7 linked regions of the Callithrix jacchus genome follow. Each later gene encodes a partner of the first gene's protein in a complex. Links are inferred from orthologs where the notes say so. Each region holds a gene or a part of one and is shown on either strand. Other genes may lie near its edges. The genes, in order: MED1, MED31, MED23, PPARA, MED18, MED13L and MED7.

The links.
Region 2: MED1 (region 1) and MED31 share a complex: the UniProt entries of both Homo sapiens proteins name them as parts of the mediator complex. The link is inferred for Callithrix jacchus from reciprocal best matches to the Homo sapiens genes MED1 and MED31.
Region 3: MED1 (region 1) and MED23 share a complex: the UniProt entries of both Homo sapiens proteins name them as parts of the mediator complex. The link is inferred for Callithrix jacchus from reciprocal best matches to the Homo sapiens genes MED1 and MED23.
Region 4: the proteins of MED1 (region 1) and PPARA are in contact, whole or in part, in a crystal structure (PDB 9IWM), measured with the Homo sapiens proteins. The link is inferred for Callithrix jacchus from reciprocal best matches to the Homo sapiens genes MED1 and PPARA. Residues at the interface, in NP_004765.2 of Homo sapiens: Asn638, Thr639, Asn641, His642, Pro643, Met644, Leu645, Met646, Leu648, Leu649, Lys650; in NP_001001928.1 of Homo sapiens: Val284, Thr285, Thr288, Glu289, Lys292, Phe297, Leu302, Asn303, Gln305, Val306, Thr307, Leu309, Lys310, Pro458, Leu459, Glu462, Ile463.
Region 5: MED1 (region 1) and MED18 share a complex: the UniProt entries of both Homo sapiens proteins name them as parts of the mediator complex. The link is inferred for Callithrix jacchus from reciprocal best matches to the Homo sapiens genes MED1 and MED18.
Region 6: MED1 (region 1) and MED13L share a complex: the UniProt entries of both Homo sapiens proteins name them as parts of the mediator complex. The link is inferred for Callithrix jacchus from reciprocal best matches to the Homo sapiens genes MED1 and MED13L.
Region 7: MED1 (region 1) and MED7 share a complex: the UniProt entries of both Homo sapiens proteins name them as parts of the mediator complex. The link is inferred for Callithrix jacchus from reciprocal best matches to the Homo sapiens genes MED1 and MED7.

What each region holds. Positions count from the first base shown.
Region 1 is NC_133506.1:119,865,479-119,868,989, forward strand, and holds part of MED1 (mediator of RNA polymerase II transcription subunit 1), read right to left. Parts: intron 2,509-3,511; coding exon 1-2,508. UniProt on the Homo sapiens protein: Component of the Mediator complex, a coactivator involved in the regulated transcription of nearly all RNA polymerase II-dependent genes.
Region 2 is NC_133506.1:108,210,282-108,215,146, reverse strand, and holds the start of MED31 (mediator of RNA polymerase II transcription subunit 31), read left to right. Parts: upstream 1-1,665; 5' UTR 1,666-1,747; coding exon 1,748-1,775; intron 1,776-2,593; coding exon 2,594-2,671; intron 2,672-2,956; coding exon 2,957-3,053; intron 3,054-4,865. UniProt on the Homo sapiens protein: Component of the Mediator complex, a coactivator involved in the regulated transcription of nearly all RNA polymerase II-dependent genes.
Region 3 is NC_133505.1:138,249,623-138,253,758, forward strand, and holds part of MED23 (mediator of RNA polymerase II transcription subunit 23), read right to left. Parts: intron 3,413-4,136; coding exon 3,212-3,412; intron 1,194-3,211; coding exon 1,050-1,193; intron 70-1,049; coding exon 1-69. UniProt on the Homo sapiens protein: Required for transcriptional activation subsequent to the assembly of the pre-initiation complex. Component of the Mediator complex, a coactivator involved in the regulated transcription of nearly all RNA polymerase II-dependent genes.
Region 4 is NC_133502.1:213,759,476-213,763,611, forward strand, and holds part of PPARA (peroxisome proliferator-activated receptor alpha), read right to left. Parts: intron 1,427-4,136; coding exon 1,179-1,426; 3' UTR 1-1,178. UniProt on the Homo sapiens protein: Ligand-activated transcription factor. Key regulator of lipid metabolism. Activated by the endogenous ligand 1-palmitoyl-2-oleoyl-sn-glycerol-3-phosphocholine (16:0/18:1-GPC). Activated by oleylethanolamide, a naturally occurring lipid that regulates satiety.
Region 5 is NC_133508.1:65,000,056-65,004,859, forward strand, and holds the start of MED18 (mediator of RNA polymerase II transcription subunit 18), read left to right. Parts: upstream 1-1,629; 5' UTR 1,630-1,696; exon of another isoform or gene 1,697-1,752; intron 1,753-2,850; 5' UTR 2,851-2,911; coding exon 2,912-2,984; intron 2,985-4,804. UniProt on the Homo sapiens protein: Component of the Mediator complex, a coactivator involved in the regulated transcription of nearly all RNA polymerase II-dependent genes.
Region 6 is NC_133510.1:119,026,040-119,030,175, reverse strand, and holds part of MED13L (mediator of RNA polymerase II transcription subunit 13-like), read left to right. Parts: coding exon 1-840; intron 841-2,629; coding exon 2,630-2,809; intron 2,810-3,421; coding exon 3,422-3,645; intron 3,646-4,136. UniProt on the Homo sapiens protein: Component of the Mediator complex, a coactivator involved in the regulated transcription of nearly all RNA polymerase II-dependent genes.
Region 7 is NC_133503.1:19,893,724-19,896,977, reverse strand, and holds the end of MED7 (mediator of RNA polymerase II transcription subunit 7), read left to right. Parts: intron 1-1,266; coding exon 1,267-1,980; 3' UTR 1,981-2,275; downstream 2,276-3,254. UniProt on the Homo sapiens protein: Component of the Mediator complex, a coactivator involved in the regulated transcription of nearly all RNA polymerase II-dependent genes.

The sequences.
Region 1 (3,511 bases):
GAAGAATTTGTGCTCACCCCCATCTGGCCGTCCATTGGGTCTTCACTCCCAGGGCCACTGGTGACAACCCCGTGCTTCAGTTTATCTATGACGGCTGTCAAGGACGGCTTCTTATTTCTGCTGGGAGATTTTCCTTTGGAACTCCCATGCTGGTTCTGAGAGGATGACATGGAAGAGCCACTTGAGGAAAAGGAGGAGGAAGATGCCGTACAAGAATTAGATGATGGGGGAGTTTTCTGGGACAATGAGCCTGAGGATCCTAACCCTGAAGATGACTTCATGCCAGAGCTTGAACTAGTTCCTGACATATGAGAACCACCAGAACCTGAACTGATAGGGGACTTGGCTTTAGAGGATGGGGGAGTTCCAGGAACAGGCTTCATTGGGGAGGCAAGTTTATCAGAGCCTCCAGGTGGCCTTGAATGAGAAGGGGATATGTTTGGTTTACTTAAAGGATTCATAAGTGATGATGGCTTTCCTTGAGGTTTCATCTTGGTGCTACTAGAGCTGCTGCTCAGTCCATGCTTGGTAATAGGAGAGGAGCCTGGCTTCCCTCCAGACTGCGAGGAATTTTTGGACTGGCCAGATCCAGAAGATCCCTGGCTAGAGTATATACTACTACTTAACTTGGAACTTGATGAGCCTTCTGATTTACTGCTTTTCATCTTCCCTGAGGTGGAAGCAGAAGATGAGGAAGAAGAGGAAGAATGGCTATGGTGGCTTTTGCTGCCTGAGGAAGACACAGAACCACTGCTGGTATACTGACTATGAGAGGAAGGCTTACCCACCATCACTGTTCCCTTAGGAATCTGAATAGTGATTTTGGGAATGGGTGGTGTGGCAACACCTGGGGGAGTCTGAGATCTTCCTGAACTGCCTGGAGATTTAGATCCACCTGTACTGGTAGGAGGGGTAAAAGGTCGGTTAGAAGAACTATGAGATGGCGACTTTCCCTCAGTGTCTGCCTTCTTCCGCTTTGGAGGCTTATCTTTGTTTTTCCCATCATTAGAAGGGGTCCGACTGCGCTTCCCTGGTTTGCTGTCTAATCCTGGCCCCGAAAGAGTACTATTACTGGTGCCATTGCCTTCCTTTACCCTCTTTTGAGTCTTTTCTTTCCCTAAGTCCCCAGTGGCCAGTAAAGGACCTTGACTACCACTGTGATGCTCCATAAGATCTGCAGGACCTAAAGCTTTGCCAGCTACTGATATAATACTGAAATCAACTGTGTCAGCTTGGTTATTGCCCTTAAACTTGGTCTCCCCATTATCACCTCCAAGCATTGGCACCCCCAAAGTATTTAGTGCCTGAGATGCAAATCCTTTGAAATCATCATTATCCCCACTTTGGCTGCTTTCATCAAAATATTCTTCTCCAAAACCACTTTGGCTCTGGCTGTTCAATAAATCAGGATTGAAATCTACTCCATCATGAAAAAAATGATTTGTAGGAGAGTCACTATTGGGACTTCCAGCAGCATCTGCAATAAGGTCAGCTGGATCAGTGTATGGATTTTCATTATTGTTAGTTTGAAAGACATCAGAGTCAAAGAGGGTACTCTGAGAATGCCCAGAGCTTGAAGAATCTCGAAGAGGGGTGCCAATGGCTGGGCAATCATCACTAGTGCTGGGAAGCTTAGAAGCTTCTTCTGCAATGTCTGAAAGGATGTCAGTTACATCTGGGCCAATGCTGTCTGAACTGGATAGTCGGACCATCCTTTGAATACTGGGTTGGGGGTGAGGTACTGGTTGTGGGTAAGTTGTTGGGGGAGTGCTACACTGGCTTGGAGCTGGAGTGATATGTGGCGTATCCAGTGTGTCAGCTGTCATGTTGACATCGAAGATAGGGTTCTGTGAGTCAACATCCATTGAAAATAACTCCCTCTGAAAGTCATCTTCAGTCTGGTGCTTTGGTTTGTCAGGTGGTAATCGTGATGACTTCTTTTTCTTGGTCTTGTTGCTACCCGAGCATATATCCATCCGGGGTGAGCCAGAAGAGGAGTTCTGCCTCTCTAAAGGGCTGCTTCCATAAAGGGTTGAGAAATCCTGGGCAGGATTATCTTTAAGAAGGTTCATGAGCATCGGGTGGTTCTTGGTGTTGCCGGCCATCGAAGAGACAGGTGGCGGCGTGTGATGAGGAGGGGTCGGACTCGAGCCAATGGTAGACCCCCCGTTCCCTGTGATTTGCAACAAACTGGTAAGAATTGGGTTCTGAGACACCTTGCTGAAGTCCTCCCCATGGCCCACCGACTCATGCCGATCTTTGATGCTCATGCTCATATTAAACAAGGTGGTAATGGGACCCCCCGGAAAGGTGTTGGTTGGTGTAGTGGTACCACTCATTGGGTTGTTGCCTGTGGTCATGCCATACCCTGGGCTGCTAGCCGGGGGCAGGTTCTTTTTCACCATGTCTTCAACTGTCTCTGCAATGAGGGACAGTGCTGGGGTGTCGGCCTGAATGGTTTCAGCTTTCCTCCGAATAGCCCTCATCGTCACAGGGATGGACATACATCTGCAAGATAAGATAGAGGAAAACAAAGTTAATATTGCAATAGCTGCTGAATGAGACCTGAGATTTAGATACAACATAAGAGTTTTGCAGTAAGCAGTTTTCAGGTAGGGCAAATAATAGTTCTATCAAATACCAGAGCTTTGGGTAAATTCATTTGAAAAATCTAAGCCAAAATGAAATTGTCAACCTCTTAATAAGAGTCACACAACAAAAGCAAACTATAATCAAGAGTCCAAATAATTGGACTTCAAACTGAACTAAAAGAAAATTGGTAATAATGGAACTCAGTAAGAAAATATCTCCTTAGGGTGGGCGCAGTGGCTCAGGCCTGTAATCCCAGCACTTTGGGAGGCTGAGGGGGTGCATCACTTGGGGTCAGGAGTTTGAGACGAGCCTGGCCAACATGGTGAAACTCTGTCTTTACTAAAAATACAAAAATTAGCCAGGTGTAGTGGTACACACCTGTAATCCCAACTACTCAGGAAGAGGAGACAGGAGAATCACTTGAACCCAGGAGGCAGAGGTTGTAGTGAGCCAAGATCATGCCACTGCACTTCAGCCTAGGTGACAGAGGGAGACTTTGTCTCAAAGTAAAAAAAAAAGGAGGCCAGGTGCAGTGGCTCACACCAGTAATCCCAGCACTTTGGGAGGCTGAGGAGGGCAGACCACAAAGTCAGGTGTTCAAGACTAGCCTGCCCAACATAGAGAAACCCGTCTCTACTAGAAACAAAAAATTAGCAGGGCATGGTGGTGGGTGCCTGTAATCCCAGCTACTCAGGAGGCTGAGGCAGGAGAATTGCTTGAACCTGGGAGGCAGAGGTTGCAGTGAGCCGAGATCATCCAACTGCACTCCAGTCTGGGCAACAGTGCGAGACTCTGTCTCAAAAAAAAAAAAAAAAAAAAAAAAAAAGCCTTCTTCTGGGAGATTCATATGATAATTATAGGGATATATAACTTATTTTAATTAAGGAATCATTAGAAAAATCTCTTGACCCATCAAGTT
Region 2 (4,865 bases), about 12 Mb from region 1:
TACTACTTTAAGTACCCATACAACCATTGTTTCTCACTTTTAGTATAGTTTGACTTATTTCACCATGGTACAAAAGTGACATTCAGTAGAAATACTACTTTAAGTACTCACACAACCATTGTTTCTCACTTTTAGTACAGTAAGCAATAAATTACATGAGATATTCAACATTTTATTATAAAATAGGCTTTCTGTTAGATTATTTTGCTCAACTTTAGGCTAATGTGTCCTGAGCATGTTCAAGGTAGGCTAGGCTAAGCTATGATGTTTAGTAGGTTGTAGATAGTAAGTGCATTTTCAAATTACCATATTTTCTACTTACAATGGGTTTATTGGGAGGTAACCCCATTGTAAGTGGAGGAGTATCTGTAGTGCCTGGCACAGAGCAGCTACTCAATAAATATGACTCTTGTCCATCTTGTTCAAACCTCAGGTCAGGTTTCAATGACTTCCTTTCACTTTCCCTTCTAAGATTATTTTTGCTTGCTGGTAGGTTTGCTATCATTTTTAACATCTAACCTACCTTAAAAAAGTATGTGAATGGGGGTGCCAGGTAAAAGAAAACCATTTACTTTGAAACATAAACAAAGGGCAATTAATAATTTATGAGTTAGTTGCTTCTCAAGCTTTTAGCAGGCATGGAATCATTCCACAGGTCATGATTTCAGTTTGGTCTGTGTTCCTAAGGGGCGAAGGTCATCGGAGGGCTTTGGATCCCAAACTCACCTGGCTCAGAGGTTCAAACAGCCTTTGTCCATCAACCCGATTTATACAGCATCCTGGGCCTGAAAACCTTTTGTGCTGGCTTCAAGTGAATATAATTCACTGGGTCAAAAGCAGGCTGGTCCAAGACGCCGCAGGATGGTCAAAAAACGTTGGCTGTGTTCAGGAACCGCAGCCTAGCTGTTTCTTACATTGATTTATGAGCTATTTCCATGAAACCGAAAAAGATTGGTCCACCTGGCAGCTGGCTGGCTGGCAACTGGAGGCCTTTCTGTCCTGGCTGAGGGCCCTGGCACCTTGGTGGCCTTTGGGAAGCAGTATCTCATCAGGCTTCTTTCTCTCGGAGGGAGGGGGTGGTGGTGGCGGCCGGCCTGGCCCGCGGGGCTGGGCTCTCCGCGCGGTGCAGAGACGTCTCCACCCGCAGGGTCCCTGACGTGGCGGGAGGTCGTTTCCGTGCGCCGCGAGGAGGCTTCCACGTGCCAGGAGGACTCCTTGAGGACGCCAGGGAGCCACTTTCCCGACGGGGAGAGGGAAGACCCCTCGCTGCGGCCCCGTGAGGTCTCCACCCATCCGGGCGGACCGTAGACGTCTCCGCGTAGCGGGAGATCCGCACCGGGGCGAAGACTGCTTGCCCCCTGGGCTGAGGCCATTCTGCCAGGCGTGAGGGGGGCCAGGGAGGCCTCTGGGCACCCCACATACCAACCGTCACCGCAGGCAGAAGAGAGAAAAACTACTGTACTACCACAGGGGGGAGAGCCACAACACGATGATGTGGAAGCATCATTGTCCTTCGAAGGCTAAAACACTAGGCTTCTGCCCCTCGGGCGCTCCCACGGCCCTGTCCCCGCCCCCTCGCCGTTCGGTAGCCAGCGGGGATGGAGCGGCCCGGGGATGGGCGGAGCCTCCCGGCCGCATATCCCACAATGCCCCGGGACCGGAAGAGGGAGCTGTGGTTTTTGGAACTTCCCTCGCCACTCTGGGCGTTTGCTCTGTCGGGCTGGTGGCGGGTTGGTGTGTGTTTGTTATGGCCGCCGCCGTCGCTATGGAGACAGGTGAGTAGCTCTCTGAGCCTGGAGTCTTCTCAGATGGAACGCTCCTAGGCCCAGACCTCTTCCCCGGGGCTTCCTTTCAGGCCTCACTCTGCAGGGTTCGTATTTGGACAGGGCGGAGAGAAGGCCCTTGTGGCGTCTAGAAAGGCTAAGGTACTTTTCGCAGTTCTCCTAATTTGGTTTGTGCCACATCTTTGCTATTCAAAAACCACCAGCTCGCCAGGGTGGGCGAGATTAAGAGAGGACTTGTGTGTTAAACCGTGTCCTCCTTGATTGGTTTTCTGCTTCTCACGAGCTTGCGTATTTGAAATACCGTCGCTAGACTTGTGTATCATTGTGCTGTTGCTGCTTCTCAGATATGCATAAACTCCACGATCTTTTAGGCTCTCTGCAGTCTCTTTTTCGGCTTGCATCCTAAGTTTTTCTTAAAGGATTCAGCGCGTAGCTTTTGCGAAACGTAATCACTGTTAACAATTGTTACAATGCATTATTAAAATAGGGGAAGCACAGTTATTACAGCTTACCTAAGTGATCACTTAAAATTCCTGCAAAGTGGTCCACGAGTTGGTAGGAATTCTGCTCTGTTTGTGTGGCTGTTTTCTTTGATGATTTCTCTTTAACTTTAGAGAAACTTCTAACTTAATCCTTTTAATCAAGGCTCCGCTTTTCTTAGATTTCGAAGAAAGGTTTATCTCCACCCACTCCCAGTTTAGGAAGACCATCTCGATATTAGTCAGGTTTCTTTATTCTTTCCTTACCACAAATCAGTATTATATACAGTGACCTTTATTTTCGATGATTTTTGCTGTCTTGTCTCCTAGATGATGCTGGAAATCGACTTCGGTTTCAATTGGAGTTGGAATTTGTGCAATGTTTAGCCAACCCAAATTACCTTAATTGTAAGTTTTTAAGCACCTCATTAAATTGAGTAGCTGTTAATTTCTGACAGAAGAGTTGCAATTCAAAATAGTATCTGCTTGTACACATTCTCAATGAAATGAAATTACACTTAGCTGGTGTATAGATGTAATTGTGTACATTGGGACTTGTATTTTGAATCCGATGTGTGTTGGTGGTGGGAGTGTTATGTAAATAGATCCTTTATATTAGGGGTAACAAATCATAGTTTAAGAATTGGTTTGACCTACAGATTTTCTTTTTTTTTTTTTTTTAATGCTTTTCAGTTCTTGCCCAAAGAGGTTACTTCAAAGACAAAGCTTTTGTTAATTATCTTAAATACTTGCTTTACTGGAAAGACCCAGAATATGCCAAGTATCTAAAGTAAGTTTAATTTTTATAATCCTAAGCATGTGTATACTTTATTATATAATAGATTTCTTAGTTTCACATTGGCAAAAATGTATTTTGAATCTCTCCACTTCTTTCAGTTGTCACCTTAATACAAGACACCCTCATCTCTAACTTGTATCACTGCAGTAATCTATTGCCTGGTTATCTCTGCTTCCACTTTTACCTTCCTGCTCCCCTCCCGCTCCCTGCAAACCAAACAAAGCAAAACAGCTTTCTACACAGAAGCCTGCTTAATCACTTAAAAATATAAATCAGAACACTTTACTTTTTTGCCTAGAATCTTTCAATGGCTTTGCATTTCCATGCGAAATAAAATCCAGTCTCTCTTTTTTGGGCCAAACCCCTCTATGATCTGGCTCTGCTTTGTCTGACCTTGTCTTTTACCGACCTCCCCATCTCCCCAGGTTTCTGATCTCAAAGAACTCACAATCTGTAAATGTTGTTTAACATTACGTAATTTCAGCCATGGGCTGAAATTAAGAACACAAAAAGAGAGTATCTGTAAGGAAGGTGTTTGGGGTTGTTGGGAGGAGTCTTACCTGAATCTTAGAACTGCTATCTTTTCTTTAAGTCCTGTTCTGTGTCAAGAACAGTGCTAAATACTTCACATGCATTTACTCATTTATGTGTATATATATGTTTACCATTCAGGTTGTTCAGCAGACACTTTCCTGTTAAAGCTTACTAAGTTGCAAGAAGTGTATTATAACCAGAAAGCAATTCCCTTTTAATGGTAAAAAAAAACAAAAAACTACACCTTGAACTCACACCTCTGCTTTGTTTTAAGCAGGTAGTCAGAAAGCAGTAGTGAACTTTTTTTTTTAAGACAAAAATTTGAGAGGAAATGTTTCAAATTTGTCTTGAAGTCACTTTTCTGTATGCAGTAACAGTTGACTCATGAAGCATATACATCTTGTGTTGCCTGCAGGACCGTTTGTATCTTTTCTGGCTTTTTATCCATTTAATAATCCAAAGAAAAGACTTTTAAAAAAGTATATTTCAACAAATGTTGTATGTATGTAGATTTACAGACTCTGTGTTGGAAGCCTTAGCCATCCGTAAGTTTAATTTTATCCATAGTGTTGCTGAGAGATGGTCATCTACACTCCGTTTGGAAGTTTCCATTGATCCCATGTGACTCTGTCAAGGACAGCTGATTCGATTGTTAGCCAGAAGTTATAAAGTTCTTCCTTATATTGTGATATAATATACTTCCTTGTAGCTTCAATCTGTCCCTGGATTAAGCTAGAACCATTCTATACCCTCTTGGGGACAACAGCCTTTTAGATATTTACATTCAAGAGAGATTGCAAATTAGCCCATTTTGGGCATTTTATTTAGTCTGCCCAAGATTTTAGTTTTTTTTTTTAATGCTTGCCAATATTTAAAGATCAGAAAGTTTTATTTAATAAATGCAGATTTCCAGCAACTCTTTAAAATCTGGAAGATTTAGCAACCATAGATCTTAATTCTTCCAATCAACAACTGGCTGATGCTGAGAGCAGCTGCCACTACTAGCTGCTTTCCACCTGGTGGAAGAGACTTTCTACCACTTGGCTTGGTTCATTGCTAACCAGTAGCTGCCACTATAACACCTCTCTTATGTCTCTTTTTCTCAACTCCCTTCAGCCATTGTGCCATGGTGCCCAGACTTCTCATGAATTCAGGTTCCCTCCTTTGGATATTTGGCAGTTGTACCTTATGCAGTTCAGCCAAGAACTAAACACAGGCCTTCAGATGTGGTCAGAGTACAGTGGGTCAGAGGTTCTTTCTTTTCTTTAT
Region 3 (4,136 bases), on another chromosome or scaffold:
AATCCAAATGCAAGTCATTGCAAAGGCATGGGTTGACTGGGGTTTATTAATATCAGGAACTGGGATATACTGAAAAATAACGATTTGAAAAATAATACAAGAAAGAGAAGAATTAAATGATTATATGTATTTTAGTAATCAATTTCTGATATATCTCTTTTTAACATATCATATCTTACTTTAGCCCCAATAATTCAATAATACAAATCAGAAGGTCTAACAGCCATAAAATTTTGAAACTATTACAAGATGCTTTATTTGGTATGTTTTTATTTGCTAAGAAAGTAACACAAATTCACAGGTGCTTTGTCAAGCTTTTCCTACAATCACAGAGCATTCTCAAACAAAAATCATTTTTTAATTTTTACTTTTTAAAAATTTAAACATATCATCATGAAATCTTACTAAATATGATAATGTAACTAAAAACACAAGACTTTCTAAAAGTCTCGGAATAATTTTTAAGAACATATAAAAATCTAAGAAATATGCAATCTAAATGATTATTACTAAATGTGCTGATTATTGATGGGTAAAATGACACCGATGTCTGGGATTTGCTTTAAAATTGTCCAACACTGACAAAAAAGATAAAGAGGGAAGATAAAATGAGTATTTCTTCATGATGGTTATAACACGGTAGGTTTACTGTTCTACCCACTCTACTTTTTGTGTATGTTTAAAAATTTTCATAATAAAGTACTTCTAGAAAATGGCAATCATCAAAGTACCTCACATTTTACTCAAATACCTTATATGATAAAACACCCAGGAGACACAATGAGGCTCAACTGTCAAAACAAAAAATAGCTATTAATAGACACTGTTGTCTGGCCATTGAATGGTGTATATAGACTAAAACAGCTTTAGTGATTTCTAAAAATGTAGACCTACTTAGAATGTAGAGAAAGAGCTTGCTATACTTCCTACTCAATTGTGATTTAGCATAAACTTTGGAAATACTCACAAAACCACACTGAAATCCTTAAACATAATTATACATAATTTACTCATCGTGTTGTCATGAATAGTTATTCAGTAAAGCTTACTTCTTTTTCTGGGTATAGCAAGTCGAAGAGCTTCATGACAGGGAGAAAATCAGCTAGTGCGTTTTTCTGAATACTTCCAGAAATGAATTGCAGGAGAACCCACATAAGATGATCTCGGCCTTTAATCAGTCCTCGCCCTGCTAACTATAAAAGATTTTTAAATACACATGTAGACATTGTTACTTAAAGACATAAACAGAGGAAGATTTTGTTGTTGTTTGTTTTTTAAGGAGAAACCCTGGTTCTTGTTCTCAGAAAGTCAACATCTCACTTTGACATTTAGTAATTACTTATTCTCAATTCAAGACACACCATGCAAAGCCTGCTAAATTATTTTAATATTATATATAAATATTTCCTGCTCCCCGAAACAACTAAGCATACCAAAAATGCAATGTTGTAGAACATAATCAAGTTGATCAGGTATGCAAGAGAATCGAGTTTAAATGGGATAATTCTTATTTTAAAAATCTCATCAAAATGTAGGGAATACACTATCATACCAAAAGGATATATTTTTTTTAATTTGAAATTATCAAGGACTGGTTACCACAAAACATGCTTCCTGGTTTTCTATACATTTTGTTTATTTATTTATATCTTTAGAATAAGGATAGAGATGGGGTCTTGCCATGCTGCCCAGGCTGATCTTGAACTCCTAAACTTAAGCGATCCACCAGCCGCAGCCTCCCAAAGTCCTGGGATTACAGGAGTGAGCCACCTGGCCCAGCTGGTTTTCTGTACATTATAACAGGAACTAATGGTGGTGGGGGGTAGGAGATGGTGGTTAAAAGGATTTTTAACAATTTTTGTGAAAAATTTTCTCCATGATAATCCATGCCATGGAGATGTTATATAAATCAACATTTATTTTATTCCCATTCAGTATGTCTAAAATTGTTGACAAAAGGTGACTTTTCCCACAGACTTAAGTCTTTTACTTGTCTCCCTTTTTTGGATTCATCGTCCTCCCTTCTATTAATTCCCAGAGTAGGAACCACTGAGCAAGCCTAGACTCCCATTATTTGCTGTCAGTCACCTAGTCCTATTCTACCTCCGGATATCCCATCTCCAGTTCCTCCTTTCTGTCCTGGTTTAGGCCTTCAGCATCTTTAGCCTAGCCCACTGCAGTTATCTCCCTACTAATTTCCTTGCCTCTGGCTTTACAGACACACACACAAAAAACCCATAATTATATCTTAATAGTTGTCATAACGAAAGCACATTTCCCTGCAATACAAATAAAAGGGAATAGTCCCTAAGGTTACAGTGAGCCTCTGGCTTTGTTCCCGTTAATCTCTACATCACTCTCTTTCTCCATGTGGCCATTAGCATTTTTCAACTTGCATACAACAATGCCATTCCCCTCTGCATTGCCTCCAAGAGAAAATCTAAACTCCTTAGAACAGGCACATGGCCATTTAAAGTTCTCCATATCTGCCCTTGCTTTCCCGCCTAACTTATCTCACCAATGATTTCCCTTTTATATTTTTATTTCCAGTTCTCACATATCTCTATCCCTTTCTAAATGCTAGTCTTATTGCTAGGGAAACACTTTTCTGTCTTTTTCTCTTAGCAAGTTTCTATTCATCCTTCAAGTGTTTGCTTAAAGACCTCTTTGATACGGCCATCCCTGATATCTCTAATACAGACCATTCCTTTTTTTTTTTTTTCTGACATGGAGTCTCACTCTGTCGCCAAGGCTGGAGTGCAGTAGTGTGATCTTGGCTCACCGCAAGCTTAGGGACTATTTCCTTTTATTCATATCGCAGGGAAATGTGCTTTCATTGTGACAACTATTAAGAAATAATCATGTTGTCTGTGTGTGTGTGTGTGTGTGTGTGTGTGTGTGCGCGCGCGCGCGCAGGCGCGCGCAGATATATATTTCCTCCTCTAGTGAGGTGCTCCTTGAGGATATTACAGTGCCTTTTCATCTTGTATCCCCTGGTGCCTGCACTGGGAATACACAGAATGAATGACTGAATCCTGGCTTTACAAGGACAAGAAAGTAAAAAGTTAAGAAACCGTAAAAGCAGTGAACAGGACAGAAATTGGGGCTCAAAACTTCTGCCAGTTCTTAAATCACTGGGGAATGTCCATAGCAGTCTAAAATACACTAATCAAAAGGTGAAGTCACTCTGACCAAAAGATTTAGTACATACCTTCTGATGAAGAGAAAGCACCATATGTGGAAAACTCGCAAACTGGAAAAGCACAAAGAAAATGAGCTGACTCGAGAGATGCTGCCACAGGAGTTGGCTTGTTCCCCCATCGTCAAACTTCTCCTCGGTCTCAGATCGCTCCATGGCATAAACAACCAGATCCACCAACTGGTCCTCCAGCACAGGGCAGCGCTGCTTGTGCTGTAGGGCAGAGATTAAATACAGTATTCCAAAAGCCTCTCGGTTAGTTTCAAAAGTTACTAGTTAATGGGCATTAATTGTAACAAGAGGCTGAGAAGCATGGAATGAAGTTGAACTTAAGAAGTTAAGGTTAGATTTAGTCTATTAAACCTGCATTATGTTATATTATCATAGAGAATAAGTTATAAAAATATTATTTTTTCAGGTTTCCCACAAAACAGACTTTCCATTAGCTTTGGACTTCCGCTATGGACATCACTTGTTTCAATTAGACAAAGGGCAATGCATAGTAGAAAATTTTGTTATTTATCCTTTGAAAAAAGATAACATTTTAAAGGGCATATGAAACAGGGATAGTAGTATTAATTTTACAATCTAAATCAAAAGATGAAAACCCTGGATTTACAGGGATCAAATATTATGATAGAACAAATAAAGAGGTTATACGAATCTCTTTATTTTAAAGTAACCTCTACAAGTTTACACAAACTTTATATTCAGGGGTATGTCTAAGTAGCTACCAGATTATTCAACGTCTGTTTTTGAGTGTGTGGTATTGGTCCTGATACTGAAGCGGAAACTTCTTTCATGGGGGAATAAAATTGATCTCTGCTCTTCCTTCTTGGAAGCCAAACATAATGCAGCTTTAATTTTAAATTAGACCACTTTAAAATCTAAAACAAGAAAAAGAATTGAGTTTAAACACTAAAAATGAGAATGCAAC
Region 4 (4,136 bases), on another chromosome or scaffold:
TGTGAAGGCTAAAACAAATATTTTAGACGTTGAAAAAACTAGCTTATATACAAAGGAGACTTAATAACCTAAACCACTGTAAAAAATAACCAACTCTTGTGAAATCTGCCATTGGAAAAAAAACTTCCATTTGAAGAAGACCCTACCCCCTCTCTAGATCCGCAGGGTGACCAGCTCCCACCCAGCCCAGCTATGAAGTCATGTGTGCCTCGTCTCCGCTCAAAAGAGCATCTACTCTCCCGAGAGTTACAACAATAAAGCATCATATCTTTAAAAGCAACATAACAGAAGACATGGGAGCTGCCAGATGGGGCCCGGAGGAACATTTACAAGTAAGGCGTCAGTCTGTCCCTAAGAATACCACCATGCCCACAGACAGCCGGACTGGGTGGGTTCAGGTTGACAGGACAGAGCTGAGTGGACCGGGTGGGCTTCGGGAGCTTGTCTTGTTTCGCTTACCACAGGTGCTAGCTTACGACAGTCCAGATGGGGATCTTGAGACTCCATTTTCTGGGCTCTTCTACGCAAACCTGGAAATGGGCTTTTCCACATATTAGTTACAACCACGAACACTGAACCAAAAACAAAGCAACAGCTGCATTTTGATAGCTTATCCAACAGTTCTTTAAAATTCTCCATCCTATGACTGAAAAGCAGCCTGTTGCCTTTCTTTAGAGTCAGGAAACAGAAGTGAAGTCTTTGAAATAAATATTTTGCTGCTTTTCACATACCTCACCTTTGGATATACACCTAGACTTAGAGGCTGATAAATGTTAAAAGTGCGGATCAATTTTCAGAATCACAAAGGAGCGCTATGTCAAAAGGTGGGTGAATGGGAAGCCAGGCCACGAATTTTGAGGTTACCGGTTAATTAAATGGTAAATCACGAACGTGATCTAAGGGGCGAGTTAAAATCAGACCACTGAGCATCATTCTCCTTAATTTCCCCAGTCCTGAGATGATCAGCCGCCTCCCACCAGGATTTGAGTTCTGCACTCTCAGAAGCACCGGTTAAAACAAAGACGTGGGATAATATGCCGGTTACCTACAGCTTAGACCGTCCACGCTCTAAGGTTAAAGTGGCGCGTCTCTGTGCAAAATCGCGCCGCTCCTCTCTCTCCTCTGTAGTGCTGTCAGCGTCAGAAGTCCCGGAAATGGTGTGGCCGACCCGGGGGCCCTCAGTACATGTCCCTGTAAATCTCCTGCAGCAGCGGGTGCAGCGCGGCGTCCGACTCGGTCTTCTTGATGATCTGCACCAGCTGTGCATGCTCCGTGACCAGCTGCCGGAGGTCCGCCATTTTTTGAAGAAGTTTTGGGAAGAGAAAGCTGTCGTCCGGGTGGTTGCTCTGCAGGTGGAGTCTGAGCACGTGCACAATACCCTCCTGCATTTTCTCAATGTGTCCTACGTTTAGGAGGCCTGGGCGATCTAGGCTCGAAAGGAGAGAGAGACGTCTGAGTGTGATGATCACCTAGGAACCAGCCGTGCCTATTTTATACGGCCTTTTTTCTTTTTCTTTTTGAGACGGAGTTTCGCTCTTGTTACCCAGGCTGGAGTGCAATGGCACAATCTCGGCTCACCTCAACCTCCGCCTCCTGGGTTCAGGCAATTCTCCCGCCTCAGCCTCCTGAGTAGCTGGGATTACAGGCACGTGCCACCATGCCCAGCTGATTTTTTGTATTTGTAGTAGAGACGGGGTTTCACCCTGTTGACCAGGATGGTCTCGATCTCTTGACCTCGTGATCCACCCGCCTCGGCCTCCCAAAGTGCTGGGATTACAGGCTTGAGCCACCGCGCCCGGCCTATGCGGTCTTTCTTAGAAAACACTGAGCTGTCTTTAGATATCGTCAGCTTGACTGGAAGATACACTTGGATTTTGACAAAGTCTCTAGGTGAAGTAGGGACAGACAGGACCCGTGCTCTTTCCTAAATATTCATACTACGAGGCTGCAATACTGCCCTCAGTCCATCTTATGGGGTGGCCCTTTCACTTCGGATTTACCACCTGTCCTGGAAAAAAATTGGAGCTATTAGGAGGAACAGTACATTCTGGAGATGATCACCACCACCAATTTTGCATAATGTGGGAAATGAAATTCTTTTTCTTGAGTCGAAACTGGATGCTCAGCTGCAGGCCTTCCACCATATTGAAGGAATGGGATGTGTTAGAACTAGGTTTTGTGGGCCAGGCATGGTGGCTCACGCCTGTATTCCCAGCACTCTGGGAGGCCGAGGCGGGCGGATCGCCTGACATCAGGAGTTTGTGACCAGCCTGCACAACATGGTGAAACCCTGTCACTATAAAAATTACAAAACTTAGGCAGGCACTAATCCCAGCTATGCCTGTAATCCTAGCTACTTGGGAGGCTGAGGCAGGAGAATCGCTTGAACCCAGGAGATAGAGGTTGCAGTGAGCCGAGGTTGCACTACTGCACTCCAGCCTGGGTGACAGAGTGAGACTTTGTCTCAAAAAAAAAAAAGAACTAGGTTTTGTGTTACAGACCCTTCTAATATAAGTCAGGTGAAAAGAAAGTAGAGTGAGAAATGAGGTGGGGTCAGGATTGCGGCATACTGGCTGGACAGAATGCTTAGGAGACCCTGGAGTGGGTGGGGAGGAGAGTGGGGCAGGTCTGAGACTTGGTGCAGGAAGTGCCAGCGTTCACATCAGATGACCTCCCTGGGGTAGCTGGTACTAACTAGACTTCCTGGGACAGTCTCAGCACGTGAGACCTGACTCTTGGTCCAGAAAATGTTGCCCTGAGCCATGTCCAGCAGGCAGTGCTCCCTTTGCAGACCCACGTATTGCTGTGATTCTTACAGTGTTGCTAGTGATGAGGATTTAAAAATCTTCATTGTTTCTGGTTGTAAATATAATTCTTAAGTTATTTTAAAAACTCTTGTTTTCATATTGTTTTAGTGATGGGGCCTTGCTATGTTGCCCAGGCTGGACTGCAACTCCTGGGCTCAAGCAATACTCCTGTCTCAGCCTCCAGAGTGGCTGGGGCTGTGAATATGAAGTCTCTAAAGAACGTAATTATTGCCAGGCACAGTGGCTCATGCTTGTAATCCCAGCACTTTGGGAGGCCGAGGTGGGTGGATCACCCTAAGGTCAGGAGTTCAAGACCAGCCTGGTCAACATAGTGAAACCCCATCTCTACTAAAAATATAAAAATATAGGGTGTGGTGGCACACGCCTATAATCCCAGCTACTCAGGAGACTGAGGCAGGTGAATCACTAGAAGCCAGGAGGTGGAGGTTGTAGTGAGCCAAGATCGTGCCACCACACTCCAGCCTGGGTGACACAGCAAGAATCTGTCTCAAAAAAAAAAAAAAGGAATTTTTTGAGAAGTAGAAAGAAATCCCCCCCTCATAATTTTAATCCCACCATTAATAGATTTAACATATATCCCACTGGACATTTTTCTATACACATAGGATTGATAGAGGATTACAATCTCTTTCATAAAACTTTGATCATGCTCCGTATAAATAGTTCTGCAATTGCATTTACCCACGATGCTACATCTTGACCACTGGTGGCATACTGGCTGGAAAGGACAAATTATGCGTAACTGCTTTGTCCTTGTACACTTTATGCAAGATCGTGAGGACTTCCTCCATCTGACTTGTGCCCAGCCAGACAGTAACAGGCATGGCTGGTAGGGCTGAGTCAGCTTCATGCTGAGAGTGAGTCAATCTCTGGGGCGCAGTATGGCTGCAGGCAGTGTGGGAGGTAGTCACCCCGTCCGTCTCCACCGAGGCTGGGTAAGGTCAGCCGAGTCTACGGTAGGTGGATGACCTTCCTAGACTTGAGACAGGGCTATTTAAGGCAATGTGACACTGAGCCAAAAATGCAGGGGCTGCAGAGCTGGCTTCCACAGACACGACCAGATCTGCCTTCCCCCGGATCTGCTTCCTCGGGCAAAGCAAACCTTGCAGTCCCTGCCACTCGGTACTGACGGGTATTATACTTGGCCTTGGGAAATATATTTTGCATCAACATAACCGAGTGTGACGGCAACCATACTGACGTGTGTATGGCACTTCATACGACACTATAATACGAACACAGCCACCTCATTAGATCATATCTTCAGGAATATCACAATGTATAATAAGTTATATCTGTTTAACATAT
Region 5 (4,804 bases), on another chromosome or scaffold:
TCTTTTTTTCTTTCTTTAATTTTTTTCCAGATAGGTTTTCCCTCTGTTGCACAGGCTGGAGTGCAGTAACCTATCTCAGTTCACTGCAACCTCTGCCTCCCAGGCTCAAGCAATCCTCCCACCTCAGCCTTCCAAGTAGCTGGGAGTACAGATGCGACCCACTACACTCAGCTAATTTTTGTATATTTTGTAGAGACAGGTTTCCACTATGTTGCTCAGGCTGGTCTTGAATTCCTGAGCTCAAGCCATCTGCCCACCTTGCCTCCCAAAGTGCTGGAATTACAGGTCTGAGCCACCTGAGCCCGGCCTGATCTTTTTTCTCCAGGCTCTCCTTTCCCAAACTTTTCTCGACATTGCAATCAGAGTTCCTTTAAAGCTCACATCTATTCTTTTTTTTTTTAAATTGAGACGGAGTCTCGCTGTGTCACCCAGGCTGGAGTACAGTGGCGCGATCTCAGCTCACAGCAACCTCCGCCTCCTGGGTTCAAACAATTCTCCTGCCTCAGCCTCCTATGTAGCTGGGATTATAGGCATGCCCCACCATGCCCAGCTAATTTTTGTATTTTTAGTAGAGACGGGGTTTCACCATGTTGGTCAGGCTGGTCTTGAACTCCTGACCTTGTGATCTGCCCGCTTTGGCCTCCCAAAGTGCTGAGATTACAGGCGTGAGCCACCGTGCCTGGCCACATCTATTCTTTAGTTTGGCATGCAGAGTACTCCTGGATCTAGGCCTACACCTTTTCCACTCGCCTGCTCTGCCTATGGGGGTAGCCATTCTTTATTCCTTTACTTTCTTTTTTTCTTTTTCTTTTTCTTTTTTTTTTTTTTTTTGGATACAGTCTCTCTCTATCATCCAGGCTATAGTGCAAGTGGTGAAATGTAGGTTTGCTGCAACCTCCGCTTCCCGGGTTAAAGTGATTCTCCCACCTCAGCCTCCCCAGTAGCTGAAAGTACAGGCATGCGCCACCATGCCCGGTTTTTTAGTGTATTTTTAGTGGAGACGGGGTTTCACCATGTTGGCTAGGCTGGTCTTGAACTCCTGAACTCAAGTGACCCGCCCACTTTGGCCTCCCTAAGTGCTAGAGTTACAGGCATGAGCCACCATGCCTAACCCCTCAGTTTGTGTGTGTGTGTGTGTGTGTTTTTAATTTAATTTAATTTTATTTTTCTTTTTTCTAGTCAAGTGCAGTAGTGAGAAGGGGGGAAAGAGTAGAACAAGGAGTTCGATCTGTGTAACTGTGAACAATCAATTGAGATAACTCACTACCTTCGGACCAGCCCAGTTTTTGTTTTTTTTTTTAAGTTCATGATAATCTCTGTAAGTCTTAACAGTTCCAAGAGACTTTCTACACAAGTACATCTCCAGGTTGTCAAACCTAAAAATATTTTCCTAGAGGAAGGCCTGTGACATCAAGGCTTCAGGTAGCTCCCGGAGGAATGCTCCAAAGGAGGGCGCCATCTTTCTTACAGCAGCCCGGGATTTCGCGCATGCGTTTTTGGTTGTCTGTCCGCAATGAAGCTCTTTGGCCTTCTCGGCACCCTTACGTTCCGGAACGGCAGTTTCGAGGTTTGTGAGACTTCGGCTTCCGATCGGAGGTGAAAAGAGGAGGAAGTTGGCTGGTTGCTTCCGTCTAAGGGCTTCCGGGGCTCGGTTAACCGGAGGGCTGGAATCTAATCGTCGCTCAAAGGCGCCTAGGTGCGCGGGTGAATATAATTCCCGGCTTCCTGAGAAGAAGCTAGAGCCTCAAGGAGGTGTGTTTCTAGTGTTTAAATGGACACGTGTTCTGGATGCGGCTTAAAGGGACCTATACACCATCATCTTAAAATAACTTTCTCTTGGCTCTCTTTAAAAGGCATTTTCAGGCCAGCCGCAGTGGCTCTCCCGCCTGTAGTCTAGCTACTTGGGAGGTAGATCGGGAGGCTGAGGATCGCTTGAGCCCAGGAGTTCGAGGCTGTAGTGAACTGGGAACTCCCCATTGCACTCCAGCCTGTGCTGCAGATCGAGATCCTGTCTCCAAAAAACAAAAAGGGAGAGGGGAAGGCATTTTTAGAGAGATGGAATGCCTAGATTCTAGTTTGGTCCAAACTCTGCCACCAACTTGCTCTGTGTATCCTTCTGCCCCTCTCCGAGTCTCAGTATCCTCATCTATAAAATTAAGGGCCCTTAAGTCACTTTTCAGTTCCTCTGAATTTTGTTTCCTCTTTATTATGTCATTAGAGCCACATAGCCTCCGAAATTAAAAAATACTGGCCTCGGCTGGACGCGGTGGCTCATGCCTGTAATCCCAGCTCTTTGGGAGGCCGGATCACCTGAGACTCACCTGAGGCCAAGGAGTTCAAGACCAACCTGGCCAACATGGCAAAACCCCATCTCTACTAAAAATACAGAAAAAGCCGGGCGGGCGTGGTGGCACATGCCTGTAATCCCAGCTACTCGGGAGGCTGAGGCAGGAGAATCGCTTGAATCCTGGAGGCGGAGGCTGCAGTGAACAGAGATCACCCCATTGCACTCCAGCCTGGATAACAAGAGTGAAACTCCATCTCAAAAAAAAAAAATTGGCCTTATTTTATAAGGAATACATTGAGTCCCAGGGTGAGGGGTTGTAGGACTTTCTCAAGATTGCACAGGTAACTTGGAAGTTTCAGAACTTGAGACTAGAAGGTTATGGTATAACTCCATGATTAGATCTCCCTTTTATATTTCTGTATTATCAGTTCCTGGAACTGGCCATATAAGGAGATACTCAGACGTTTTTGAATGAATGAATCTTTTGATTTGAAGGCTAGTGCCACAACAGATCTGGTCTTTCTCCACCACTCTGATGTATAAACAAGTGAATTCTTTTTCAGGTATATCTCATGCCTTACCTGACTGGGCATTCTGAGTTGTGTTGTCTTCAACTTAGACACCATGGAGGCACCTCCAGTCACCATGATGCCTGTCACTGGGGGCACCATTAACATGATGGAGTACCTGCTGCAGGGTAAGTGAACCAGGGAACTTGGATTACCTGTTTTCCTCTTCTCTGTTCAGCTTCCGTGAAGATGAGAGACTTAACACAAAAGCAGCCTGCACAGTTTCTGGCAATCAGCTATGTTTTTAATTGTTACTTCATATTATAGTTTTATATGCATTAAACATATTAAATTTGTCATCATAACATATTTAAGTGTACAGTTCAGTAGTGTGAAGTATATTAACATTGTTAAGCAACAGATCTTTAGAACTCGTGTTTATTGTGAATAGCTTGAAAAAATACTTAATAGAACTTTTTTTCCTTTGAGACAGAGTCTCGATCTGTCACCCAGGCTGGAATGCAGTGGCACAATATTGGCTCACTGCAACCTCCACTTCCTGGGTTCCAGGGATTCTTACATCTCAGGCCTCCGAATAGTTGGGATTACAAGTGTGCATCACCATGCCCACCTAATTTTTGTATTTTTTAGTAGAGAGTTGAGGTTTTGTCATGTTGGCCAGACTGGTCTTGAACTCTTGGACTCAAGTGATCAACTTACCTTGGCCTCCCAAAGTGCTGGGATTATAGGCATGAGCCACTGTGCCCAACCTAAAATAGTTTTTCATCCTGTAAAACTGCAACTCTGTATCCATTAAACACTGATTCCCACTCCCCTGTAACTATCCCTTAGCAACTATCTTTCTAGGTCGTGTTTCTCTGATTTTTTTTTTTAGATGGATTCTTCACTCTTTTGCCCAGGCTGACTGCAAACCTCCATCTCCCAGGTTCAAGCAATTCTCCTGCCTCTGCCTCCCAAGTAGCTGGGACTACAGTGTGCACCACCATGCCTGGCTAATTTTTATATTTTTAATAGAGATGGGGTTTCACTGTGTTGGCTAGAATGGTCTCCATCTCTTGACCTTGTGACCCGCATTCCTCGGCCTCCCAAAGTGCTGAGATTCCAGGCATGAGCCACCACGCCCAGCTAACCATTTCATTTTCATCGTAGGGTCTTAGCTCATCTGTCATCCCCTTAGAGAGTCCTCTGACCACTCCAACATCTCAGAGTAGTTTCCTCCCCTTTGTCCCCTCCAGTTCCTCTCCATCTGATTCTCTTTTATTTCCTTGTTTTCATTTACTTGTTTGGTTATGTGGAGACAGAGTCTTGCTCTCTCACCCAGGCTGAAATGTAGTGGTGCAGTCACAGCACACTGCAGCCTCAACCTCCTAGACTCAAGCAATCAATCCCACCGCATCCGCCTCCTCAGTAGCTGGGATTACAGGCCCATGCTACCACGCCCAGCTAATTATTATTTTTTATTTTTAGTAGAGATGAAGTCTCACTATGTTGCCCAGGCTAGTCTCGAACTCCTGAACTCACATGATTCCTCCCACCTCAGCATCCCCAGTGTGCTCGAATTGCAGGCATGAGTCACTGCACTCAGCCTTACTTATTTATTTCTTGTTTCCACTACTAAACTGTAATGTCCACAAGGGCAGAGCCTAGCACAGTGCCCCCAGGACAGCATTTAGTAAGCATACATTGAATGAACCAACACACTTATAAAGCACCTAAGATGTTTGAGGAACGAACATTTCTGAGACTGTCCTGAATGTAGGATGCAATGGTGAGCCATTCCCTGCTCCTAACATTTTCTTTTCTTTTTTTTTTTTTTTTTTGAGATGGGGTTTCACTCTGTCACCCAGGCTGGAGTGCAGTGATGCGATCTTGTCTCACTGCAACCTCAGCCTGCTGGGCTCAAGCAGCCCTCCCACCTCAGCCACCCTAGTAGTTGGGACCACAGGCACACACCACCATGCCTGGCTATTTTTTTATTTTTGTATTT
Region 6 (4,136 bases), on another chromosome or scaffold:
ATAGTGGGGCAGGAGTCCTCCCATCTCCAGCAACCCCTCGCTTCTCTGTCCCCACACCACGAACCCCCAGGACCCCAAGAACTCCCAGAGGTGGGGGCACTGCCAGTGGTCAGGGGTCTGTTAAGTATGACAGCACTGATCAGGGGTCACCAGCCTCCACCCCCTCTACTACGCGGCCCCTCAACTCTGTGGAGCCTGCCACCATGCAACCAATTCCTGAAGCCCACAGTCTCTATGTTACCCTGATTCTCTCCGATTCCGTGATGAATATCTTTAAAGACAGAAACTTTGACAGCTGTTGCATCTGTGCCTGCAACATGAACATCAAAGGGGCGGATGTCGGGCTTTACATCCCGGATTCTTCCAATGAGGACCAGTACCGCTGTACCTGTGGGTTTAGTGCGATTATGAACCGCAAACTTGGCTACAATTCAGGACTCTTCCTTGAAGATGAGTTGGATATTTTTGGGAAGAATTCTGATATTGGTCAGGCTGCAGAGCGGCGCCTACTGATGTGTCAGACAACCTTCCTTCCTCAGGCCGAAGGAACCAGAAAATCCCAGGAACCACCCATAAGCCTTCTCCTCCTCCTCCAGAGTCAACACACACAACCTTTTGCTTCACTGAGTTTCCTGGACTACATTTCCTCTAACAATCGCCAAACTCTTCCCTGTGTAAGCTGGAGTTATGACCGGGTGCAAGCAGATAATAACGATTACTGGACGGAATGCTTTAATGCATTGGAGCAGGGGCGGCAGTATGTGGATAACCCCACTGGTGGAAAAGTGGACGAAGCTCTGGTGAGAAGTGCCACTGTGCACTCTTGGCCTCACAGCAATGGTAGGTGTCCCAGAACACAAATTTGCTCTGAGGAGTATCTTGGTATATCTTGGTATGATCTTAACTTAAAAGCTTTATTTTCTTTGTTATTTGACCAAAATAAATTAATTTCATGTATTTAAGGGGGGATAAAAAGAACTAAAGTGAGAGCTATATTGATTTCATCCCAAACTTAACAACTGGGAGAATGTTTTATATTGAAATGCCTTTGGAGAAAAGTAATTGTTTTCTGAAATTTTCCTCTTGTAAAACTCATGAGTAAGGAGTCCATGTTGGAAACCTGTGACAGCTGAGTATCAGAGTCATCACGAGCTTGCAGACTGATAATTTTGCACACTCTTGCATGTTTAAATCCACCATTCTTCCACATCAAGTTTCCAAGGAACCTCTTCCATGAAGCCATCCACCTATTTCCAGAGTCTCTTGTCCTTTCTCTGTTTCCCCCTCTGTTATATCACTTATAATCACATTTTACTTTTCATTGTGGTTACGGAGGCATGTAACTGGCTGTATTATTAAAAGCTCCAGATCACAAACATTTTTGAAGTTGGGCTGTAAGAGTGCCAAGCAACTTGCTATTCCCTTTTCTTATTCAGTCACTGCATAAACTGCAATGCATCATGGGTGATAAAATGGTTACTGAAAGAGACAAGACACCTGCCCTCATGGACTTCCTAATCTATTCTGGAAGTGAACATTAATTAAATAATTACACAAGTCAAATATTATTACAACCCATTTTGTAAGTGATAAAAGCATGGGATAGGCGGGGGCACTCTAGGCTGAAGGTCAGAGAAGACTTTGTTGAAGAAGTAGTAACATTTGCTTGGAGATCTCAGTGATGAGTACAGATTAACTGAGGAAGGAGAATGGGGAGCAAGGCATGTGTTCCAGACAGAAGGAGCTGCAAGTAAGAAGGCCCTTGATTGTACAGAGCTTGGGGCCTTTGAAACTGAAGCAAAGTTAGAAGCCAGCAGGGGCTAGATTTTTTTAGAGGCATCCCGGGGGTTAGGTCTTCCTGCAAGAAGCAATAAAAAGTCATTGAAAGGTTTTAGGAAGAAGCACTGACATCAGATTTGTGCAGTTAGAAAAGAAAACTTACAGTGTGCACTGGCTATAATTCTGGGTATAGATTAGAAAATGGTGGGAATGGATTTGAGGACACTAGGAGGTTATAGAGGAAGACCTAGTCAGAAACAATAGCTTGCCTTAGGGTCCTTGTGAAGAAGGTGGCTTCAGTCCTAGAGTGGCTTCTGCTGTGTTTCCATGTGCCTCTGGCTGCAATGAAGATTGGCTTTCTCTTTATGCATTCTGTATTTTGTGAAAATATTTTTACAATTAAGAGCATTTAAAGAGTTTTTAAAAGCTTCTATTTAAGTTCCATTATTTCCTACTCATCATTATAAACAACACATCGATATTTGCAAATAAAAGTAATACAATAATTAAGAAACTTTTGTAGCTGTTTTATGGAAATCCTTGAAAATAGATTTACATGGTTTTAAAAAGTTCATACCTATTCATGTTTCTACTTTTAAACAGTTCTTCCATTAAACTTTTTTATAGAGTAATCCATTTCGCTTTTTATTTTTGATACTACATTATCAATTATTTTCTCTAATATAGTAGAAGAATATCTTTCCTTTTGACTCCTAAGTCAGATATTTTAGAATTTGCTACAGCTAATAACATCATTGTCCTGGACTATAACTGAGGCTCAAGGTGATGGCAAGGAAAAGGAGGGTGCTAGCCCCCTTATCTTCTCTGTTTCTTCTCACTTCTCTTCCAGTGCTGGACATCAGCATGCTCTCTTCCCAGGATGTGGTTCGTATGCTGTTGTCCCTGCAGCCCTTTCTCCAAGATGCCATCCAAAAGAAGCGCACGGGAAGGACCTGGGAGAATATCCAGCATGTGCAGGGACCACTCACTTGGCAGCAGTTCCATAAAATGGCAGGACGGGGAACCTATGGTAGGGTCTTTGCCCCGTTTAAAATTTCTTCTGATGTCAGTGCTTTTTAGTGAAGAGCAGCATTAGTTACTGTCAAGTCTTTGCTTCGCTAACAAAATGGAATATTTTTCTTCATGAGCATTAAGTTTTATAATCTGTTTTTTAAAATTACTTTTGGGTCAAGTTTTCCTATCACCCTTGTCATAGTCCAGGTCAATGAGGAAGATAATCCCTACAAAGTGCGTTTCTTAGATTCTCCTCACCTTCCCAGTCCTCATTGCATTTTCATCTGGATGGACTTCTGGGCCAGTTCTGTCTGTTTCATCATAGTCAGGATAATAATGCTTGTCTTGAAGGAAATGAAGCAGTGCTGCCTGGAAGGTTAATTGTAACTTGTTCTAGTCAGCCCTCTGATCTTACTGAACCTTTGTAAGAAGATTCTGACTTACTTAATTAAGAGTCCTCATCAGTGGCCGTTTAATTAGATGATTTGAAAGACACTTTTAAGAATATCTTGTGAACCTGCAGTGACATTTCAGATGCCAGAATTAAGAACAGTGCACCAGGAATTTCTAAATTGTCTAGGTTGTGGGGAAAACACTAGCACCTTCCTAAACTACAATGTCATTTTAGGTTCAGAAGAATCTCCTGAGCCGTTGCCCATCCCCACTCTGCTGGTAGGCTATGACAAGGATTTCCTCACCATCTCACCATTCTCCTTGCCATTTTGGGAGAGGCTGTTGTTGGACCCATATGGGGGCCACCGTGATGTTGCCTATATTGTGGTGTGTCCAGAAAATGAGGCCTTGCTCGAAGGAGCCAAAACTTTCTTCAGGGACTTGAGTGCTGTGTACGAGGTGAGGAAGTTACTGTGAAAATCGCTTTTTATGACATGGATTTTCTGATTGTTCCTAGTGATGACTAAACTTCAAGACAGATGTCTTGAAAGTGAATCTCAAAGACAATTTGCAAACAGGAGGATGAGGAAGAAAATTGAACTGACACATTTTTCTGGAAGCAGGTTGCTTTCCCGTCTTCGCTTTATATTTATTAGATTTAGAAGACTTTCCCCTCCCATCCTTACCACATGTCTTAAAATCCCATCAGCTCTCTCTTCTCCATTTATGTGCTAAAAGTCGAAGATTATTGCTCACCAGGGGAAAGTGTGGCTATGTAGAAGATGAGCTTTACAAAAAGAGCACATCTACTCTATTTATTTATTTATTCATTCATTCATTCGATGGAGGGCTAGGGTGAGTACATGAGAGTTCCTGACAACAGTATAAAAGTGTTTCTTTTGAAAATTTCTGAATTGAAAGATAAGTTTAATGAATCATGTCCCTGTTGT
Region 7 (3,254 bases), on another chromosome or scaffold:
AGGCCACAAAACGTGTAGTTGGCCTAAGGAAAAGGGCAACTGAAATACAGGAATACACATGGTGTAGCAAAGTACAGACCAGCACTCCCCACCTCAAAAGGTTTGAGTGGGATGAAACGTGAGCTGTCAACAATTGTATTTTGAAGTTCTAGATCAATGTTAATTCCTTGATTTTGGTAATTGTGCTGTGGTTAGAAGAAAACACACAGAAGTATTTAGGGGTAAAGGAATGAGAAACCAATAAAGCAAATGAAGGTAACTGTTAACATATGGAGAATCTGAGGGAAGAATATGAAGTGTTCTTTGTATATTCATGCACTTTTTGCGTAATCTGAATTTATGTTAAAAGCTTTTAAATATTGGCCAGGCGTGGTGGTTGACGCCTGTAATTCCAGCCCTTTGGGAGGCCAAGGCGGGCAGATCACCTGAGGTCAAGAGTTAGCCACCAGCCTGGCCAACGTGGTAAAACTCTGTCTCTACTAAAAATACAAAAATTAGCTTGTATTTTTAGTAGAGACAGAGTTTCACCACGTTGAAATGTGTGGTGGCGCATTTCTGTAATCCCAACTACTCTGGAGGCTGAGGCAGGAGAATTATTTCAGCTCAGGAATTGGAGATTGCAGTGATCTGAGATGGCACCACTGCAGTCCAGCCTGGACAACAGAGCAACACTCCATCTCAAAAAAACAAACAAAAACCAAAAGTTAATGTGTCCATATAAAATTGCATAGTACACTGTGACAAAAAGGGTATGGAACTGAATTATCATTTCATTCAGGAACTTTGGATCATACCAGGTGTTTAGGATTTAGCAATGTTAATTTTGTCAGAGTGTTTGTGAGAGATACAAGTGTTTGCTGTTAAAAATTAATCTGTAACATAAAGCAAAAGTGATTATGACCTGAGATTGGGAGACAACATGTGTAGTTTGGTTATGGAGGAGTAGAGAAATGGGCCAAAGTGGTAAGGGGTGTGGAATCCAGAAGATTTTCTTTAAAGATGAAAAGATGGTACATTTTTTTTTATGCTGATGAAATTATTAGGGAGAAAATGGAAAATGTGAATGGTTGAGAATATAATGCCTATTTAGAAAAGTTGGCAGACTTTCCCTATCATAAATGTTAGTTTTAGAAACCAAGGAGATCATCTTGTCTTGGGCCGCAAACAACTGGAAGAAAAGGAAGAAAATATTCTTTCTGTAGTTACGAAATGTAACAGGTTCATTTCGTGGCTCTACTCTAATAAATCTTTGGTCTGTGTCTTTAGGTTCTTGGTGCAATGGGTGAACCACAGCAAGTGAGTGCACTCCCACCACCTCCAATGCAATATATTAAAGAATATACAGATGAAAATATTCAAGAAGGCTTAGCTCCCAAGCCTCCCCCTCCAATAAAAGACAGTTATATGATGTTTGGCAATCAGTTCCAGTGTGATGATCTTATCATCCGCCCTTTGGAAAGTCAGGGCATCGAACGGCTTCATCCTATGCAGTTTGATCACAAGAAAGAACTGAGAAAACTTAATATGTCTATCCTTATTAATTTCTTGGACCTTTTAGATATATTAATAAGAAGCCCTGGGAGTATAAAACGAGAAGAGAAACTAGAAGATCTTAAGCTGCTTTTTGTACATGTGCATCATCTTATAAATGAATACCGACCCCACCAAGCAAGAGAGACCTTGAGAGTCATGATGGAGGTCCAGAAACGTCAACGGCTTGAAACAGCTGAGAGGTTTCAGAAGCACCTGGAACGAGTAATTGAAATGATTCAGAATTGCTTGGCTTCTTTGCCTGATGATTTGCCTCATTCGGAAGCAGGAATGAGAGTAAAAACTGAACCGATGGATGCTGATGATAGCAACAATTGTACTGGACAGAATATACAAGAAAGAGAAAATTCGGGTCACAGGAGAGATCAGATTATAGAGAAAGATGCTGCCTTGTGTGTCCTAATTGATGAAATGAATGAAAGACCATGAAAGATGTTTCTCTTTTCTTTTTTACTTTTGATAAATAGCATCATATATTATTTTCTTTTGGACAGTCTTCAGAGAGGTTTCACTAAAAATGTAAACAGCTTTAATCTTGACTCCAATTTTTTCAATTATGAGATGTCATAGGCAGTAATTTTGCTGTATAACAAGCATAGGCAAATGAGTACCCTGCACTAAGAATAATCACTTTAGAAAGCAAAGTGTTAGCTGCTGTTGTACAGGACATTCCTATGTTTTGGAATTGCAGTAAAACTTTGATGATAACCTCAATAATAACAAAGTTTTCATCCTTGAAAAGGGGATTTATTATTTTCTTTAAGAATGACAGATAAGTAATAGACATCAAGCTGTATAAATGTAAAACTATGAGATCTTTAGACTTAATTAAAAATTTTGCTTAAGCTCCAGAAAGTAGTATGACATGTTAGTAGAGAGGAACCCAGTAAAGTTATAAAACAAATTTATTTTTTTTCCTCATAACTGTTCCTGTAAACCCATTATCTCAGTCTTTTCTATCCTGAATAGACTCTTGCGTGGAAGTCCCATAGATTGTTTTTTTCTCTAGTCACTCAGGTAATAAGTCCTTTGGCCACTTTAAGTTACAGACATTAATTTTAGTAATTAAGATGTCTATGTTATTAGCTACACATTTTCTTTAAAGCTAAAGTCAGACTTGCTTAAGTCCCCAATGGGATAGGGGTTTGGTGGCAGGCTACTAGGTATCTACTAAAATTTTTGCTCTTTGAAGATAAGTTGCTGAGATATAGCAACCCAGCCAGGGACATTTCCCTGCTTTCCCAGCATCTCTATGAGAAAATGTGACTAAGTTTTAGGGAGTGAAATGTGGGCATAAGAATCCAGGCTTGCCCCATAAACATTTCTTGCATGATCCTTCATTCTCTTTTTTTTGTTTTGTTTTGTTTTTTGTTTTTTGAGACGGAGTTTCACTCTTTGTTACCCAGGTTGGAGTGCAATTGCGTGATCTCGGCTCACTGCAACCTCCGCCTCCTGGGTTCAGGCAATTCTCCTGCCTCAGCCTCCCAAGTAGCTGGGATTATAAGCACGCGCCACCATGCCCAGCTAATTTTTTGTATTTTTAGTAGAGACGGGGTTTCACCAGGTTGACCAGAATGGTCTCGATCTCTTGACCTTGTGATCCACCCGCCTCTGCCTCCCAAAGTCATTCTCTTCTATCTGCTGGTTGGATGGCCGTATCTGAGATAAGTCTGGAAGCCACTGAAGATGGCAAAAATTGTCAG